Caenorhabditis elegans: one gene and its partners. The protein of the gene in region 1 purifies or fractionates together with the protein of each later gene. This does not show direct contact. Each region holds a gene or a part of one and is shown in the gene's direction. Other genes may lie near its edges.

Evidence for each region.
Region 2: the proteins of F57H12.6 (region 1) and cutl-28 fractionate together in Caenorhabditis elegans (co-fractionation; one large-scale study listed by BioGRID). This does not show direct contact.
Region 3: the proteins of F57H12.6 (region 1) and dgn-1 fractionate together in Caenorhabditis elegans (co-fractionation; one large-scale study listed by BioGRID). This does not show direct contact.

What each region holds. Positions count from the first base shown.
Region 1 is NC_003282.8:7,973,740-7,978,741, reverse strand, and holds F57H12.6 (DUF148 domain-containing protein), read left to right. Parts: upstream 1-2,431; 5' UTR 2,432-2,445; coding exon 2,446-2,508; intron 2,509-2,690; coding exon 2,691-3,245; 3' UTR 3,246-3,288; downstream 3,289-5,002. Other genes in the region: ora-1 (Onchocerca Related Antigen family), read right to left, coding at 1-10, 67-453, 750-839.
Region 2 is NC_003282.8:681,863-689,973, forward strand, and holds cutl-28 (CUTiclin-Like), read left to right. Parts: upstream 1-2,634; 5' UTR 2,635-2,642; coding exon 2,643-2,813; intron 2,814-2,975; coding exon 2,976-3,120; intron 3,121-3,173; coding exon 3,174-3,297; intron 3,298-3,772; coding exon 3,773-3,915; intron 3,916-3,957; coding exon 3,958-4,105; intron 4,106-4,155; coding exon 4,156-4,286; intron 4,287-4,366; coding exon 4,367-4,427; intron 4,428-4,475; coding exon 4,476-4,587; intron 4,588-4,636; coding exon 4,637-4,723; intron 4,724-4,939; coding exon 4,940-5,256; intron 5,257-5,305; coding exon 5,306-5,396; intron 5,397-5,720; coding exon 5,721-6,281; 3' UTR 6,282-6,473; downstream 6,474-8,111.
Region 3 is NC_003284.9:10,925,426-10,932,134, reverse strand, and holds the start of dgn-1 (Dystroglycan 1), read left to right. Parts: upstream 1-3,136; 5' UTR 3,137-3,239; intron 3,240-4,315; exon of another isoform or gene 4,316-4,520; intron 4,521-6,709.

The sequences.
Region 1 (5,002 bases):
GCTTCGATTCCTGAAAGAATGATATTCAACATCCTTTTGAGTAAAAATCTTTTTTTTTATTCTTACCTTGTCTTTGTACTCTTGCATTTCCTTCTCCTTTTTCTCTTTGAATTCTTGGAATTTCTTCAAGTTATCTCCAGTAAGAACTTCTTGAGCGAGAGCATCAATCTTCTCTGGCTTCTCACTGAATGGGATTGACTTATCCTTGAAAATAGCATCAAACTTGGCAAGGATGTCCTTTGGAAGTCCACGAAGGAATGGAAGTGGTGGTCTCTTGTGAATGCTCTTACGAACATCCTTTGGAAGAGATTCCATGATTTCACGAGTTAATCCTTGTTCTTCATAACACTTGTCTCCTTCTTTGTAATCTTTCCAGATTTCAGTTATCTTGGTTTGAACATCAGAAGGAAGATCCTCAAGGAATGGTGGAAGTCCGCATGGTGGTGGTGGACGCTGGAATGTTTGTAGTTTGAGACGGAGTTTTATATGGCTATTAAAATAGGAAATACAGTTCATTAATTTGCACTTAGCGGCTGATTAAAGTAGAAACTTCTATGAAATTTCTTGAGCATAAAACGAAATTTAAATTTAGGTTGGATTTTTCAATTTCGAATATTTGAATTTTGGTAAAATGTATGTAGCATTTAAAAAATTAAACCTTAAATTAAACCAAAAAATTAAACCTAAAATAAAAGCTTTTTTAAATTGTCAGAATTTTTGGAAATTAAAAAAAAAGAAGAAAAACTTACACCTCCACATCTTCCGAAGCAAGGCTTAGCTTCAGATACAATAGTCAAAAGAAGAAGAGCAGCTGAGATTTTAAAGATATTAGAAATCATTGTTGAATGATGTCCTTTTCATCCAAATTCTTGTCCTTTTATACCATTCAGAAACCGAACCCTTCGCCAAACAGTGCTCTGTACTCAAACATACCCCCTTTCTCCGATTTTGATGCTGATCTCAGCGGTTGTTGTTGTTTTGGAAGGCGCCGCCCATTTTTCCGTTCGGTACATATCATTTTTTGCCGTTCGAAGAAAAATACACTCGACAAAAGAAAGGAGATAACAGCTATTCACTTTCATTATGACAACTTGCTGATGATGTCATTCATTTTAAAGATTCGACGAAGACCAAAGAAGATTTGAATGACTGTGTGGTCAATTTTGTAATAGTTCAGTTTCATCTAAGAAGATCATCACCAGTTCTACAGAAAGAACAAGTTGATAGAAATTGAAACAAGAATCATTTTTTGAATTCAATTGAACTTTGATGATCAACGTGCAGTGTATGCCAACAAGAAAAATGTGTTGAAAGTGACATTGAAAAGTTATTGATAATGAACAAACTTTAAAAAATATAGTGAAACAAAAAACACAATTGACTTTAATGTATTTTCATTTACATAACATGTTCTACCCTGTCTAAAAACTACGGTTGTTGGAGAAGCGCCACTTGGGATTTTGTCAAAATATTCTAAAAATGAAACATGAAAAATTGGTCGAATATCTGAATTGAACAGTATAAAATATTTTGTATTGTTAAAATGTTAAATTTATATTAAAAGTTTCAGTCTCAGCAAATTGCTTTGATTTGGCTAAAACAATGGGAATTGAATGTGATTTGAACAAAGAATGAAATGGTTTGGAAAAGGTTTGGTGAGAAACTGGAAAATGAAATATTCGAGATAAAATACACCAACAGCATTTAGAAATTAATCCTCAAATGTTCAATGTGATTGTAGAATTTGCATCAATCGAAACATGTTTTTCTGTAAACAAAAAATGTTCAATTTGTGTCTTATTAGTTATCAATTTTTATATTATAGGTCAACCAATATCTCCAGGCGTTTGGCGCCAACCTAGCAAATCAACCCAAAAAGATAATAATCTGGTTGAAAACTTGGAAAGTCTTTGGTAAAGCTTGTGCAGGATTTGGATAAGCCTCTGTTATCAATTCTGGCCAATCTTTTCCGAATATTGGCAAAAGCTCGATGAAAAGACAACCTGGACATTTTGAGCACAATCTTCCAATGCCAAGTGTGCGCCAAACAGCGGGAAAAGAGAGCAAGATCAGTTGGAAATGTTCTGCTTTCAGATTAGAAACTATATAATTTACCTGACTCCGATGTCTCTTGATAAGTTCAATTTAAAATGAGGGAACTACTTTTAAACTTGATGTTTCTTTCAAATGATTTATTTTCTTCTGACTTCTTCCACTATCTTCAAAATGTTTTAATTCAAAAAAACACTCCACACATCTTCAGTTGTCAACCTTTTCCAAACCCACACACAACGATGACCAAATCAAAAGATCTGTTCCAAATGAATTTATCATTATTCTTCATCTCATTCTATGTCTACGCCTCCAATGTTATTGTATTCGCCGAGACGGTAAATTGGGTATAAAATCTCCAACTCTTGATATTGAAGTCAGTCATCTTCAGCCATGAAGATTCTTTTCGCTATTCTACTAGCTATTGTTTCAGTTCAGGCAAAGCCTGGAGGAAGAGTAAGTTTTATTTCTATTCAATTTATGCGCTGTTTTTTGTTTTTTCTAGCTAGACATTGAAAAATAAATGTTTTGAACTTGAGAATGAAAGATTCCGAAATCTTTATCGGATGAAAGTGTAGAATAGCTTTTAGGCCTTTACAGTCTTGCGATCCTTTCAATTATCAACGAATTTTTTCCAGAGATCTCCACCTTGTGGAATTCCACCATTCTTGGACAGTCTTCCAGAAGATGCCCAGGAAAAGATTAATGATATCTGGAAGGATTACAAAGAAGGAGATAAGTGTTATGAGGAACAAGGATTGACTCGTGAAGTTATCGATTCTCTTCCAAAGGATGCTCGCAAAAATCTTCACAAAAGACCAACTCTTCCATTCCTTAAGGGACTTCCAAAAGACAAACTTGCAAAATTCGAAGCTATTTTCAAGGACAGATCAGTTCCATGGAGTGAGAAGCCAGAAAAGATTGAAGCTCTTGCTGAGAAGGAACTTGATGGAGATAACTTGAAGAAATTCAAGGAGTTCAAGGAGAAGAAGGAAAAGGAAGATAAGGAATACAAGGAGAAGGAAACAAAATTGTCTGATGAAGCAAAGAAGGCACATGAAAAGATTGAAGCATTGAACAAGCAGAAGTTTGAAATTCTTGGAGATCTCAGCGAAAAGGCCAAGGAAGAACTTTTCGATTTGTGGAAGAGTCGTCCACATTTCAGAGGAGGACATCGTGGAGGAAAGCACTAAATGTATCATTTGTAATAATTATTTTATAAATTTTTCATTGCTTAATTAATAAAATTTAATTAGAATTACTCCGAAGCATGATTACTTTAAAAACTTGAAAGCGCGTGGCAACAATTAAAGTCAAACTTGACAGGTCATATCCCAGTTGTCCCTTATTTTATCATAAATTGGGTTCTTCCATGTATCAGAAGAAAAAAAGAGGTCTTAGATCTGACAACTTCTCAAAAAGTAAAAATTTTTAAAGTTCAGGTTTTTTCTAAATGCCGAGTTCATATTATTAATATTGTTATTTTATTCTCAATTATTGCAAACATAACAGTAACCAATACCAGTTTTAATAGAATACCGTATATCTTCTATTAATATTGCCTCCCTATTAGACTTGCACTCCCTATTAGTGTTGCCCCTCGGAGACCTTCCGAAAATTAGTATGGCACTCCCTATTAGTCTTGCACTCTCTAATGGTGCGTCCATAGTCTGCGGAAAACGGGAAATTCCCGCGTGCGGAAGCGTCCATAGTCTGCGGAAAAAAACAAGGAGTTTCTCGCTTTGTTATTGGTCAATTTCAAAATAGTGGGCGTGTTCAACCAATTAGAGGCTGTAAAATTTTAAGCTGAGCAATGGGAAAACAAGAAACAACAGCTGATTGGTTGGCCACGCCTACTTTTTTGAATTTTGAGGAAAAAAAAGCGAGGAACTCCGGTTTTTCCGCAGACTATGGACGCTTCCGCACGCGGGAAATTCCCGTTTTCCGCAGACTATGGACGCACCATAATAGTCTTGCGTTTACTCTTTTTTATTGCAGGCCCGTCTCGTTAATTTCAGGATTTCAACAAAAAAAATTGCCTATTTTGCTACAGTTTTTCACAAAATTTCTACGAGATTGAAGTTGTTGAACTTATATGTTACAATTAAAATCAAATTTTCTGAATTTTTACATAAAGATTCGAGCTTTTTCAGAAAAAAACTAGTAAGCTCAAAGTCAAAAAAATGTTCTGAAAATTAGTATTGCACTCCCTAATAGTCTTGCACTCCCTATTAGTATTGCAAGCGGGAAGACCATCGAAAAATAGTATTGCAGCCATATTAATAGAAGAAATACGGTATCCGTTTCTTTTTATTCGTATTTCTCCTCAAGGATATTTCTTTTTTGTATTTTTTCGGCCTTGAATGACCTCCTCTACCTTTTAATGATAAGATCCAAATAAATAGAATGATTTTCTAACTTCCTCTAATTTGCGACAATCTCTATTTCTCTTTAAATAGAATTATTGTTTTGATGTTGATCTCTCTCTCTTTCCGAAAATGGTCTCAATTGCACTGAACATGTTGTGTGGGTAAACACTCCGGGAAGCCAGAAAAAAGTGATAATCGAAGAGCAAATAGCATGGGCGAGCCGGAAAGCAAAAAAACAGGTGGAAGAGTGAATGTACAATTCATGGATTGTCACGATGCGCTCAGTTAATTTAGGATTTTGAGAGACGAGAAAAAACATGGAATTGTAAATATGAAACATGTGTGTTCGAATATATTTTCATGTTGATCTCTATGATTTTTGAAGAAAAATGTCAGTTTTTTTAATGGGGGTGTTTCACTTTTATTTATCACTATGAATACAATAACCTTAAAAGTGATACTTCAGTTGTTTTTCAATTTAATTGATAGAGTAAAAAGAAAGCCAAAAACGTACTTTACCAGTTCATGATAAAACGGAATATTTTGAAAACATTTTCGGTTGTTACAATTAAAAATATTTT
Region 2 (8,111 bases), 7.3 Mb from region 1:
ACTGAACAAAAAAATCATGTTTCAATTTGATTTACGAGATTCAGTGTAGATTTACGAGATATGCGTCCAAATTTACCACATACGTTCGATTTAGTGTAGATTTACGCGATTTTGGGTTTATTTACAAGATATTGTGTAGATTTACGAATATACATAGGTGTAGATTTACATGGATATTATGTAGATTTACGTAGTTTTGTGTACTTTTTTAAAAGATTTTTTGTAGATTTACAAGGTTTATTGTAGATTTACCTGAGCTCACCATCAGAAATATTTACAAAGTTCTGCGTTTACCGAAGTGATTGTATATTTTCGAGGATATTTGTAGATTTACGGTATGGTTTTTTTCGTAGTCTAGTGGCAAATATACATTATTTCCAGGACACCTATTCTCATAACCTACTTGATTCTTTTTTCAATGTTTTCCAATCAAGCGAATCACCGGATCAGATAATTCCAGTTGATCCGGAACCTTTTCCGCCACCGCCCGTCGGATAATCTCTCTTCAACAGCTTGTCACTTTCTTTTCGGATTGTCTCATCGTTTTTGTTGTTTTTTTTTTTGCGCGCACATCTTTATTGTTTCATAAATCCACCAATTGGTTCTCTGCTGGACGCTGTGATAGAGTGTGTGTGAGATTTGAAGAGATGCAGAGAGAGAGTCAAGAGGGGCGTAGATATATTCCCGAGAATAATGTGTGTTGAATTGAGATTAGTGAAAACAAAATATGCAGAAGAAATCGAAATATGCATAGAATATTATTCAAATGTTCATGTTTTGTGTAGATTTACGTCAGTTTAGTGTAGATTTACAAAGCTTGATGTAGATTTACAAGTTGACCAACAGAATTTTGTGTAGATTTATAAATTTTTATGTGTATTTACGTGGTCTTTTGAATAGGTTTTTGAATTTTTTTTGTAGTTTTCATTGTCGATTACAAGGGTTTGTGTAGATTTACGAGATTTCTGTTTATTATTACGATATTTTTGTAGATATACGTGTGTTCATGTAAATTTGCTAGATTTTTAGTAGATTTTAGGGCCTTCTTGCATATTTAAGGAGTTTGAATTTTGTGTACTCCCTTATACTGCCAGCCGTCTCCTCATTGTGCTTGTTCAGCTGCCTGCCACTTTCGCCTCTCGCTATCTCTTTCATTTCTCTCCTTTTTTTTAATGGCACCGATTACACTGCATTCCCGTGTCCTCGGTAGTATAGTGGTGAGTATCCGCGTCTGTCACATGCGAGACCCGGGTTCAATTCCCGGCCGGGGAGAACCTTTTTTGCACAATTCTATCAACAGGTTGCCCAGCTGGGATATGTGACCTGAATCCCATGAAGCTTCACAGCGTCAGTTGGACAAAACTTTCACCTACTTCCGTGTAACCGTCACTTTCGATTCTGTGCCCTTTTGATTCTCCAGTATGTTTGCGTCTCTCAGGCGGCGGCCTGCTATTATCGTCGGCTGGCCGCTGCTGGTCATTTAGTGTCCGGCATGTTTGCTTACCGCCGAAACGATAGATATATGTCTACTGTTTTCCCGTTTTGGGGTGGTAGGTAGAAGCCAAACCACTTACCTGGTATGTCATTAAACCATGAATATAGGAGTTAAAAACAAATTTTTTGGTGTTTTGTGTAGATTTACTGAGCTGTGTTGTTATATACGAGATTTTGTGTGGATTTACGTGGCGCCTTGTAGATATACGAAGTGTTAATGTAGATGCTACCAATTTTGTATATTTACAGAATTTCTGAAGGTTTATGACGGTTGTGTAGATTCAGGTGGTTTCTTGCAGGTTTACCATTTTTTATATATATCTAAAAATTTTCATTTAGACGTACTGAGTTTTGTGTAGATTTACGAGGATTTTTAAAATTTGAAGTTCCAAATTTTTTTTTTTTGGAAATTTTGAAGTCAAAAAAAAATTTTAATCCAAACTCTACAAACAATTAGAACGCCCGTTTCTCTCCATTTCGAATAACTCATGCTAGTCGTTTGTAACCCCATAACATGTTTAAACCGACGATGCGCCTACCCTCCTCACCGCCCTTCCGACTGCTGGTGTCCATTAATTAACCTGCCGGAACGAATGCAACTTTAAACTTTTCCTGTCCAAGTTCCGTTTCACTTTGCATACATCTTCGAAATAGCTTGACTTTTTGAGGTTTTTTACGTTTGAATTTTCAAAAAGAGTTCCATTAGCTCAGTTTTTGTTCGAACGTTGTGATAACTTTGCCAAACGTTTTCCTATTTTTTGTCAAACTTTGTGATATTTCTGTAGAAAGTTTTTCCATTTCTGACCACTCAAACTTTGACAGCTTTCTGTCAAACGTTGTCCAATTGCAAGAGCAATTCATCGTATTACGCCTCAACCTTCTGTAGAAGTTTGTCATACTTTTGTCGAACGTTTTCATCTTTCTGTCGAACTTTAAACTATTCCAGGAAGACTCATAAATGCCGCCTAGGGTCTTCCTCAGAACTAAAACTTGTTCAGTTTTCTTTTTCTAGGTCTGCATAAATCTAGAAATAGAGAAATAAATGGAAATCCTACAAACACTAACAAACAGACATTTCCCGTCTTTCCGTACTTTTCCATATCCAAGCTTTTTCCTTACAACTTCCTCTTTTTTTTCCAGGTGATGCCATGAAATATCCCTTTCTCCTGATTCTTATTCTGTCAACACTCCCGTCTACAGTATCACCATGTGAGATCACTTTTATCTTGGAGACTTTGAAATCCGTAAACTCCACTGCAAGTCTTATTATTCGAAAATCTGTGGATAGTCTATCACAATGCACCAGGTTTTGCTCATCGGTAAGCTTTTTTGTCTTGCGGCTGACGTTTCGCGGGATGTGCCGGCATTCTAGTTCAACTTAAAGGGAGCTGGGATCTAGCCTCCTTGGAAGCCATATAGCAACTAGTAGCTAATTCCCTGGCTAATATAATTTCACTAAACGACCGAAAAACTCTCGTCAGGTACCAAACTGCACGCATTTCACTTTCTCGAACGCCGAACCCATTGAAAAGAAGAACGGTGGTTTCAATTGCCATCTTCACTCGAAGTCACCCGTCTTAACGACATCTGGATCTCGGACGGTAGGAACGAAAACTTGTTTGGAAAGTGAGTAATTGACGGCGAGGTGGTCATTTTGACTTTCACCCCTTTAATTTCAGATAAATGTTTGAAGAGAAGTTTTGCGTTTGAAAAGTTCCCAGGGAGGTCGTTGGTCAACTCATCGTTTATTATCAAGACATTTTCGATTTCGATGGAAGAATGCTTGTCACAGTGTCAGAAAGAGTTAGTTTTTAATAATATACCTTAAAAACCGCAAAAAGTGAAAAAGGGATAAAGTTGAAAAATTATTTTTTCGTTTTTTTTCTAGAAAATTAGTTTAAAATATTTTTTGAGTTCGATGCAGTTTTATAACATATTTTTAAATTCAAAATAATTTCTGAATTTTAAAATTATATGTTGTGATGATGGAAACAATTTGAAGTCTATTGAAGAATTTTCTTTGTAAAAAATCTGAAATTTTCTGATCGAAAACTTATCATCAAATTTTATTTTTCAAAATAAATGTAAAAAAAGTTCCTACATACATAAAACTTTTCATTTTGGAATTAAAAACTTAAAAAAAAAAGTGTGTTCTGTTTTGTTAAACTTCGATGCGTTAAAAAATTTTACTGTTTTTTAAATAATATTCTGGAAATATTCAAAAAATTAAAAATCTTTTCAAGACATTATTTTAAATTTCAGTCAATTTTTTTCTCAGGTCATCTTGTCGTGCTGCTCTGCACAACAATGACACCTCGTTATGCCAGTTATCCAGAGTATCCCTTAACTCTGTGTACAATCCAAGACTATACTTCAAAGCAAGCTATTCTGTGGATCTTTATGAAAACAATTGCGTTGATTGTAGGTCAATTTTTTTTGCACAAAAAATTCCGAAATTTTCAGATGCGATGACGTCATCAGCGTGTACATTTATGCGTGTCAACGGGGGTGGGCTGAAATCGGTCAGTGATCAGTTGATTCAAAATGTTGGAAGTTTTGATGAATGTGAACAAATGTGTGTGATAAGAAGTCGCATTTCAGATGTTTGCAGGTTTGTTGAAGGCTTAAACTATTATCTGTAAAAGCTGAAATTTTTTTCAGATCCTATACCTATGACAACTCAACCAACGAATGTAACTTAATGTGGGCATCTGCTAGAATGCTAGGAAGAAGCCCGCTGGAATCAATGAAGCCGAATTTGTTTCATGGTGATTTGGATGATTGTGTTAATTGTGAGTAATTTTTTCGATGAACAATGGTATTTTCTTAAATTTTTCATCTGAAAACTCGTGGAAAATTTGAAAATTTTCAGTCTCTCTAAAATGCCGCGAGGACAATCTGGAAGTCAAAGCTAGCTCGATGAGAATGTTCATGTAAGCTTACCCCAAAAAAAAATTTTTCCAAAATTATGTACGCTTCAGCGGAAAAATGATGACTAAAAAGTCAAAGAAAATAATGTGTCAAGAAGATTACGAGGGGAACTACGATTTTTCGTCAAAGTTTGACTTTAAAAAGTGTGGACTTGATCCTAACGTAAGTTTTCAGGATTTTTGAGAATTATCAGAATAATTGAAAGTTGCAGAAATCCAAAGATTCTACATATCGGGGTATGGTGCATGTGAAGGAAGGGAGCACGAGTTTGGTGACTATAAGGGACAAAGTTTTGCAGGTAGGCCATTGAAACATGCTTAGGCTTTGGCTTAGGCGTAGGCGTATGCTTAGGCTTAGACTGAATTCTTCTTACATTAGGATGAAGACTATTCCAATATTCGAAGCTTTCTATGAAAACATTAAGCCGTAAACTTCGGTGATTGCAGACCCGGCAGGTGTCTGGCGTGTATTTTTTCAACAAGCAGAATAAAGTGAAAAATTTACAATTTTTCAGGTCAACTGCCGTCTTCACAAAAGTATGCCATCGGAAGAGCAATTCCTATCTGTTCAAATGAATGTTCGTGAGAATAATAAGACAAATCAAGTAATGTCAGATGTTGTCGTTGTCACAGCCCCACCTGCCCAAACAAACCCTAAATTCTCTCTGAAAATCCTCGGATTAGATTCAACAGAAGCCGATACAGTTCACATTGGTGACTATGGATGGATTATGCTTGCCGTTAAGAACTCGGCTGAAGATTTTACAGTTACTAATTTAGTGGCGAAGGATGTTCAGACGGGTCGCGTGTTACGCATCATCGATGAGGATGGGTCAGCTGACAGGAAAAATACCTAACCGTAAATGTTTGACCTATTTCAGTTGTGTTCTCCGGCGGGATATTGTGAAAGAAATTCGGAAGACAGATAACTATGTCAAATTGAAGATTAGTTTTTCTGGATTTAGACGACAGGTTTGTGTTTATTTTACGTTGGGGTTTTTGTGGGATTTTGCTTTAACATACAGAAAATCTGAGGTAATGACCTGATATCACAGTAAAAATTGTTTTTTTGGCGCTTCTGACTCAATTTAAAGTTTCTGCTAGAATGTGTCTCTCGGAAAATTTGAACTTTCCGTTTAACATTCCTTGAGAAGTTGTGATTTCTTTCGCCATGACTTTTCTAAAAAGAAATGTAGAATTTCCGGCCAAATTTTTTTGTTCTGAAAAAACTTTAACTTCTCGCTTAAAGTTTTAAAGTCTAAAAATGATACAAAGTCTAAAGTAACATTTTTTTAGACTGAAGTGGTGTACCATGCAATGATGGAGACATGTACAGTTGGATGCATGCCAAAATGTAATCAAGACATGATGCTTCCTGAGGAGGAGACCAACGTTCATTCCCTCCCCTTATCACTGGATCTTCCACGACATCGTATGGTCCGAAGGTCTCTGGCCGGGGAGCCGAGGGAGCTGCAATTGACAAGTGATGTATATAAAGTAACTGGACACAAATTGACACTTCTGAATCCTCCTTCACCAAAGCAATTCGACTTCCCAGCTCCCAAGTCAGACTTCGAGTTCAATGACAACGGAGAGTTCCACGAAGGAGATGTGATCGTTGTGAAGCATTCTCCAAATCTTTGGACAAGTGTGAAGCATTGTCTTATTGATGACGTCACGTGTATGCTCACAGTGGTTCTGGGAGCTATTCAGATGTTTCTCATGTTCTCATGTTTTCTAATTATGTATTGTTATTACCAGCAGTGGAGATTTTATAGGGAACTCAACAGACCTCAAGAGCACAACGTACAGTATTACACAACTTCTAAACCGGAAGAAAACACCAGAGACACCTAGATATTACCGGTAACTCATTATGCTTTTATATTGTTTTGAAATTAATGCACCTCGGGTTTACAAATTCGCTTTTGTTTTTGTCTTTCTTCAGTTTCCAGTGCAATTTTATCCAATGTCTTTCATTTTGCCAAAGCGTACAAAACTTCCAGTTTGACATTTTCATTTTCTCAGTTTAAATAAATATTCCAAATTCATGAGTACACTTTTATTCACAAGTTAAAAAAAAGAAAGACAATCTAATACAAGTACATGTGCTGATTTGGTGCTCTTTTCTTTGAGCTCACTATACGAACAGCTGGGCACTCTGAGTTGGCCGGTTTCGGACGGAATGAGCTTTTTTGTTCAGTCAGGTACTCCGTTGGAAACGACATTCCTGCAGTGATCCACTTTTCCACTGGAACTGACAATGACATTCGTTCGATGGGAAATTGGGTGTATGTCAATCTGAAAATAATTCGGAGAATTGCAGAATTAGGGAATTGTTTCAAAGTACATCACAAATAAACTCACCTTGATACGGATTGATCTGTCACTTTCCCTGATCCGAATTCAAGAGTCGTCCCATGCTTGATTATATTTGACCTATCACCAACTCCACCTTGATATGTCGAACGATTGATAGTTTGGGAATCAAGAGAATCAGTTGGACGATCAATTCCATCTTTGGGTCTTGCTGCAGCATATCTTTCTCCAGTACCACCTTGATATGTCGAACGATTGATAGTTTGAGAATCAAGAGAATCAGTTGGACGATCAATTCCATCTTTGGGTCTTGCTGCAGCATATCTTTCTCCAGTACCTCCCTGATATGTCGAACGATTGATAGTTTGAGAATCAAGAGAATCAGTTGGACGATCAATTCCATCTTTGGGTCTTGCTGCAGCATATCTTTCTCCAGTACCTCCCTGATATGTCGAACGATTGATAGTTTGAGAATCAAGAGAATCAGTTGGACGATCAATTCCATCTTTGGGTCTTGCTGCAGCATATCTTTCTCCAGTACCTCCCTGATATGTCGAACGATTGATAGTTTGAGAATCAAGAGAATCAGTTGGACGATCAATTCCATCTTTGGGTCTTGCTGCAGCATATCTTTCTCCAGTACCTCCCTGATATGTCGAACGATTGATAGTTTGAGAATCAAGAGAATCAGTTGGACGATCAATTCCATCTTTGGGTCTTGCTGCAGCATATCTTTCTCCAGTACCACCTTGATATGTCGAACGATTGATAGTTTGAGAATCAAGAGAATCTGTTGGACGATCAATTCCATCTTTGGGTCTTGCTGCAGCATATCTTTCTCCAGTACCACCTTGATATGTCGAACGATTGATAGTTTGAGAATCAAGAGAATCTGTTGGACGATCAATTCCATCTTTGGGTCTTGCTGCAGCATATCTTTCTCCAGTACCACCTTGATATGTCGAACGATTGATAGTTTGAGAATCAAGAGAATCTGTTGGACGATCAATTCCATCTTTGGGTCTTGCTGCAGCATATCTTTCTCCAGTACCACCTTGATATGTCGAACGATTGATAGTTTGAGAATCAAGAGAATCTGTTGGACGATCAATTCCATCTTTGGGTCTTGCTGCAGCATATCTTTCTCCAGTACCACCTTGATATGTCGAACGATTGATAGTTTGAGAATCAAGAGAATCTGTTGGACGATCAATTCCATCTTTGGGTCTTGCTGCAGCATATCTTTCTCCAGTACCACCTTGATATGTCGAACGATTGATAGTTTGAGAATCAAGAGAATCTGTTGGACGATCAATTCCATCTTTGGGTCTTGCTGCAGCATATCTTTCTCCAGTACCACCTTGATAT
Region 3 (6,709 bases), on another chromosome or scaffold:
CAAGAAATTTAATACGCTTCTCTGATGTTTTTCCTACATTTTCCTTCTCCCCACGCGGTTTCTCACAAATTCCTGTTTTACTGTCAGTGCTTTTTTGCAAACGGGGGCCTTCTTTTCAACGGCCTCCGCTAGACATTATGGCAGTTTGTAGCGATTTGGGAAACCGCCAACACCATATTATATCGTAAAAAATGCGGAGGCTACTAGTACGGTGGAACATACAGAAATGGGAATAAATTCGTGTTTACCGCCACCCTACCTTTTCCACGTTTGTTCCTACTCATAAATCTCAAATCTTCTTCTGTTTATTTGAAAGTATCAACAAAAGAAGGTTGCGTTTTACTTTCGATACTTCTTCTAAACTTTCAATTTTCTAAGAATTCAAAAGTGTGAATCCAGAAGAATGCGACATCCATAAAACGTCTCCGCTTGTTGAGAAACATTTCAACTGTGACCCGGGTTCGTAACCCGCCGTAACCATGACATTCTTATTTGTCATCTGGCTTAGCGTGCACTGACCATGTCAATGCCGGCCGGAGCAAAACACTACGTTCTGTTCCATCACTTTTGCTTCTTTACGTTATTGTATTTCGCTGCCAAATTCATTAGGATAATTCAATCGGTTTCGAAACCGGACACCTCCTGCATGCATATCCACTTTTCACTTTGTTTTCTCGACAGGTTGTAGTGTCAACATTGGCTCCGATGGATATGGATATAGCTCATTGTTTTCAAAAATTTTCTTAGTTCATTATTATTTTTGGTAGTCAATTTTTCGTTTCCTAAGAATGTTTTAATTTTGATAATTAGTAGTAATTGAACAACATACTTCTCCAGTGAAGTAAATATTCGAAACAAATTGCCAAATTGTAATAATCTTGCATTTTTATTCTGTACTGCATGCACATGTCATAATATGACAAAAAATTATTTATCTGAAGTTCCGCAGGATCGGAAAAATTATGAGCGTAATTCCATTAGTTAACTAAATACAACGAGAAATTAATTTTTTATTATTGTGAACCGACCAAATCATATTATTTAAACGTTTCACTTAAATTATCTTCATTAGTGGTCAATACAGGGACGTGAGCCTCATGTGGTCGTTTTTAGCCATTGTGACCATTGGCTATTTTCCTCTCATTCCACTTTTCTTCTTTCAAAATTGCCCCACTATTCATTTGATACTCTACAATTATTATTCTCATCGTTGCAGTCTACGAATCGGATCATATAATAGTGAGACATTTGGTCAAACTGGCTTGGTCCTCGTTTTTTACTCGCTTCACTCGGAAGGTCATTTTGCTTGCTTTTTGAATGCAATTGCAAGAAATATGAAACTATATCTTTGAACCACGCAATCTTTTTTTTTGTTTTGTTTCTGTTAATTGATGACCTTGAAGAAGTATAAGAATCTTTTTCAAAAGGTATTATTATGCAGTTATATCTAAACTGTAAATTTGAAAATTCAAAGTATCTCATATTCCTATATGTACCAGTAGTTTGTATTTTAAATTTCCAATTCAAAATTTTAATATGGAAATGATGTAAACACCATTCCGATTTTATTCCATTATTTTTCTCTCAATCTCTCACTCTTTTCAATTTTACTAGAAAACAGATTTTTATTCTTTCGAATAGAAAACCCTCTACCGTTCCTGACTCACCATTCTATCTCCTCACACACCACTTTCTACGACATTGCCTAACTTTTTGTGCGTTAAGTTTAATGTGCATTTGACCTTTATCAGTTACTCGTGTCCTCTTTCCTGTCTTGATATTTGATTTCAATCACCATCGAGTAATTAGTGTATTGGACACACATACCGAGAAACCACTAACAAGAAACGCCCTGATTTTATTTTTCCTTGAATAGCAGGACGGATCGTGTTAAATTCTAAATAACGTAGGACTGGAAAAATCACATTTTTATGACAACAGGGACTTTGTCGCAAAATTTAATTAGTTCTACATTTGGCCAGGACAATGATTACCGTGGCTTTATGATCAACAACATCTAGCGTGTCTTATCAAAAGCAAAAATTGTTGGAAATCCTAATTTTCTGTTTTGTTAGACTCTATTTTATTTCTTTTGAAAATCCATTACCGTTTTATGTTTTGAATAACTTCAAAATCAAACAAAACTACAGATTGATATTTGCAATCTAATATCTTCGTTTAAATTTCAACTTTTTTAAATGTGCTCTTCGAAATTAGTAAAAAATTTGTTTTATATATTTGCAAACTTCATATAGATATGAAAATATACATATGATAAAATGAAAATAGCTGTATTCCCTTGCCACGCATATAGACGGCGCATTCAAAAACTCATTGCACTCTGGTTTTTTTTTCAGAATTTTAATTACAATGGGGGTTATATTTCATGGGAAGAGCCTTTTTGAAACTCACCGCTTTTCTTCGCTCTATTGATATTTTTGATTTCCCTCTGCGTATGCAGAAAATAGTACAAACCACACTGACATTCATTGTAGTAACTCTAACTTTTATGCCCAAGAAAAGGCAAAAAAATGGTAAGAAAAACGTTTATGAAAGCTTTCTGTTTACCTACCTTGACCATTTTCTCTTTTTCCCCTATCCTCCAACGAGTGTACACACATTTTCGGGTATAATTCATCCGAATGGTTGGTGACAAGAAAAAAAAATGCTTCAAACTGTGTGCGTATGTTTTTCTTGTCAAAACCACATTCATAGTGTGTTATCAACAAGGAGGGATGCAACAAAAGAGAAAGCGAATTTTCCAGGTTGCATTCTTCATTTCGTACTTGCTATCTCTTTCCTCTGATAACCGTTTTTTCGGCAATTTCAATACCTCCTTGATTATATTTATGAGGTATGCAACTGACAGTGTTTCTTTTTCTCTTACGATATTTATTTTCACATCAAAACTATACACATTGCTAGCTTTTTTATTCTTTTTTGAAAAACCTATATTCATCAGATCTCAGAAGTTCCAATTTGAAAGTTTCTTCAATATGTACATTATCGTAAATTAGTCTGTCAACTGATACAAATCGCTTTTTGCCAAGTTTCAAAAGGACACCCCTTTTTGAAGTTTTCCGCTCCATTTCATGTCTTGAACGTATATGTTGCAAAAGTTACTTTCGATTTTCAGAACGACAACGTGTATTGAACCGAACTTGTGATTAGAATCGAAAACGAAATTTCAATTTGGCGCACCCATTTTTTAGTCCCGGCTTATTGATAAACACATAGAGGTGAGACTTTTTTTAATGCCAGTTTCGAACGCGTGCCCGGAAGTTTTTCGAGGCATTAAAAAAATTTTCCTATGTAACTAAACAATTCTTTTAGTCTTATAAAATGTTTTACTAAATCTCGTTTCCTGATATATGTAGTTTTGTACACAGAAAACGAGATGTTTTCTTTTGTATTTGCCTGAAAAACTTATTCTGCTTCTTGGCACAAATCCAAAAAAAGCGGCGTCATGTTTGTGCATTCAAAAACACTTCAAAGGTGTACGAAGCCACAAATGTTGTGACTACTCATATGTGTACAGAGATAGGTGTTTCAAAAAAAATTTTCGTACGACTTCAGAGTGACGTCCTTATTTTGAAACATTCACTTAACTCGAAAACATCCTGGTTTTTAGGTATTATATGAATTGTCTGCTAGTTTTTTTTTTTCGAAAAACCGAGTTTTTTCTCTAAATAACCTAAATCTTAACAAAAAATGTTGTTTTCCGTTCTTCACGTTTTTCGGTTTTTCAATTTTGCGGTGTGGGTCAAAAAGCCGAAAAACCCAAAAAATCGAAAAAAAATTAGGGTCCAGTTTGAAAAAGTGCAATTTATGTATGTTGTTTGTATGAAATAGGGCGTCATCAGTAATAAAAATATTGCATTCTGTATAAAAATACCGATTTTGGAGTGTTTTCAGAATTTGTTTTTGCAGTTTTCTCAAAAGCGAAAATTTCCGTTTTTCAGTTTTTTGAAGAACCAAAAAATCGAAAAAAGTTTTGGCGCACATAAAATGTTTTGTTATTCTCAAAAAATTTCGTCCCTACTAAATTTTACTCAACAATGTTCGTCTTCGCAATTCTCAAAAGAAACAAAGTGGCCCAAGATCTTACGTCAATCAAAACATTCAAAAGACTAGAATAAGAAGGCCCACTGTTTTTATAATCTTGTTTTTACACTCACTTAGCAAATCCGGCACTCTTTGTTCGGTTGCTAATAAGGTGTCAAAGTGACAATTGAAACCCCTCTGAACTGACTCAATAAAAGATAAGATGGAAAATAAATCGAATCTCCGTTTTCAATATGTTTCGGTCGGTTTCTTCTATTTATATGCAAAATTCATTCGAGACACCATACCAAAAGCTCCCGTGGGAGCTGGCCTTCTTATGTCGGTCGGTTCATGGTCCGTAGGGAGTGTCGGAAGGACGGAAGACCACGAAGGAAACGTCTTTGTTTGTACGGATCGCTTATTTATTATGCAGATTGAATATTGGCCACCGCTTCGTTCTTCATCTGTGTTCGGCTTTATTAGACTGCTCAAATGTTGCATGCCATTTTCCTCCTCCTCTCTCTTCGTAGCCGTAACGTATCGCATGTCCATTTCTGATTAGCTCTCGTCATCCGTTCTTCTTTCATCCTTATAAATATCACCATCCGTCTTGAATTGACCAAGAAAAATTGTAATTGTTCCAAACGGACCCGCATTGTACGTCTGAACACCCAGTCATTAGGCTTATCTTCCAATCGTTGCCTCCTCGTTTGCTCCATCCTGCACACACCTGGCCACAGGTACGGTGACGCAACTTTATGAGGTTGAGCCGACCAAATAGGACCATCTCCGTCCTTCCCCACATTTTTCGCCTCTCACTTTATATGTTTGGTCAACAGGGCTTGCCTCGTGCTTGACCCTACCCATACGCACAACTTTCTCTTTTTTGCTGAGGAAACTTTTTTGACGCGGGGTTTTTTACTCGAAATCTACGCTATCCAAATCTGATTTCTGTCCAAACGTCCTTGTCCATTCCTTGACTCTTCTCAATTTGATGATATGTGATGGAATCGTGCCCCCATTTGTGTGCCATCTCTTCAACGCAGGAGCTCTTTTATGTCGTTACAAGCATCTGCTTCAACGCGCGCAGCTGCACACAGTGCCATTTCTTGCCCTCGTTGTCGCGTCAAAAGTATTGCACAATACGGATAGATTACATAAGGAAATCTGTATTCAATCAGATGGTTTACGATCTGCCCGGTGGTGAATAGATATTTTCAACAGCTTATGAGAAAATCGGCTCCAAATTAATATGAATACGGTCACATTGAATAACTGAATTTATGATCTAACATTTTGAATTAACTAAATTTGCACTTCTCTGATTATGCTTATATAGTTTAAAGATTTTACCGCAACATTACAAACTTTTAATCCTCTAGTCTGATAATGATTTATGTCCGCTTCATTGTGAGCGACCAAAAAACTTTAGCTTGTTCACAGGAGTGTGCTTCAGGAATTTTTCAATTAATCTCTTGTGATATCACTTTCTTTTTTTTTGCTCTTACACCAAATATTTTTTTGGAAAAATTGTCAAAATTGACTTAATGGAAGCTGGTGGCTGAAAAATATTTGAGGAATGATTCATGATTTACCGTTTCATTTTTTTATTAAAAAACAAAAGTCTAATACTTTTGGTTCCTGTCAACATGGGGATCCGGACAATGAGAATGAGACGAACGCGCTGACTACTAGCAGTCGAAGTACGAAACCAGAACAATAGGCGTGTTAGTCTCAGTTTTAGCAGTACGTTTTGTCTCCGGTGTTCCCGTGTTAGAAGTGTATACAATTACCCTTTGCACAGTGGCTGTCGATTCAAGCAATTCGAGAACGTTAAGCCAGGTAATCCATGCCTAATAGATGGCAAACGGCACCCATCATCATCCTCATCGTTCATTTAATTAGCACGTTCGTTTCATCTTCAATACGTTCCTCACTGGACGTTAATCCAACCAATTTCGCGCACGGAAAGGTGTCAGAACAATGAACTGAGACGATCATTTCTCACTGGGTTTTTGTGTGTTCTTTTTGTGAAATAAGGTAATCCTCAGTCACAGGTTGTCAACGGAGCACTAGTGTCAGTCAAATGTACACCTGCTCTCATTTTTCTCTTTCTTGTGTCACCATCTCGTCTCACGTCTTCAATCTTTTTACCTTCCGTATGTCCCACAGATTCCCAGGATTACCGCTCTCGACGACAATTATGCGATCTCGAAAATGTCGTGAGGGCATTGTTAGGCATATCTGAACAGCCTCAGTCGGTATTACCTTGTCGACGGCGCGCATCTTCGGAGAACAGTAAGAACTATATTTTGCGAGTTGTATGGGCCGCCTTTCGCCTAATTATGCTCGTATACATCGTTCTAATTACTATAATTATATTGTATTCCATATTTTATCCAAATGGCTAGTAGAGTTCTATACCCTTTCTTTTTATTATAGGAAAAATTGATACTTGAGAAAATGTAATTTAAAACTGAAGTTACAATAATATTTAGAAAATTAGTTTTACTCCTGCTCAAAATTCAACAATTTGAAAAATAAAAATATTTTATCTTCATAAATAAATACTATTTATGACTTGACTTGAAAAACGCATTCATCTACCCAGAATTAAAAAAAAACAAAATTTTTTGTTTAATGTCTAGTTTTTTAGAAGTGTTTT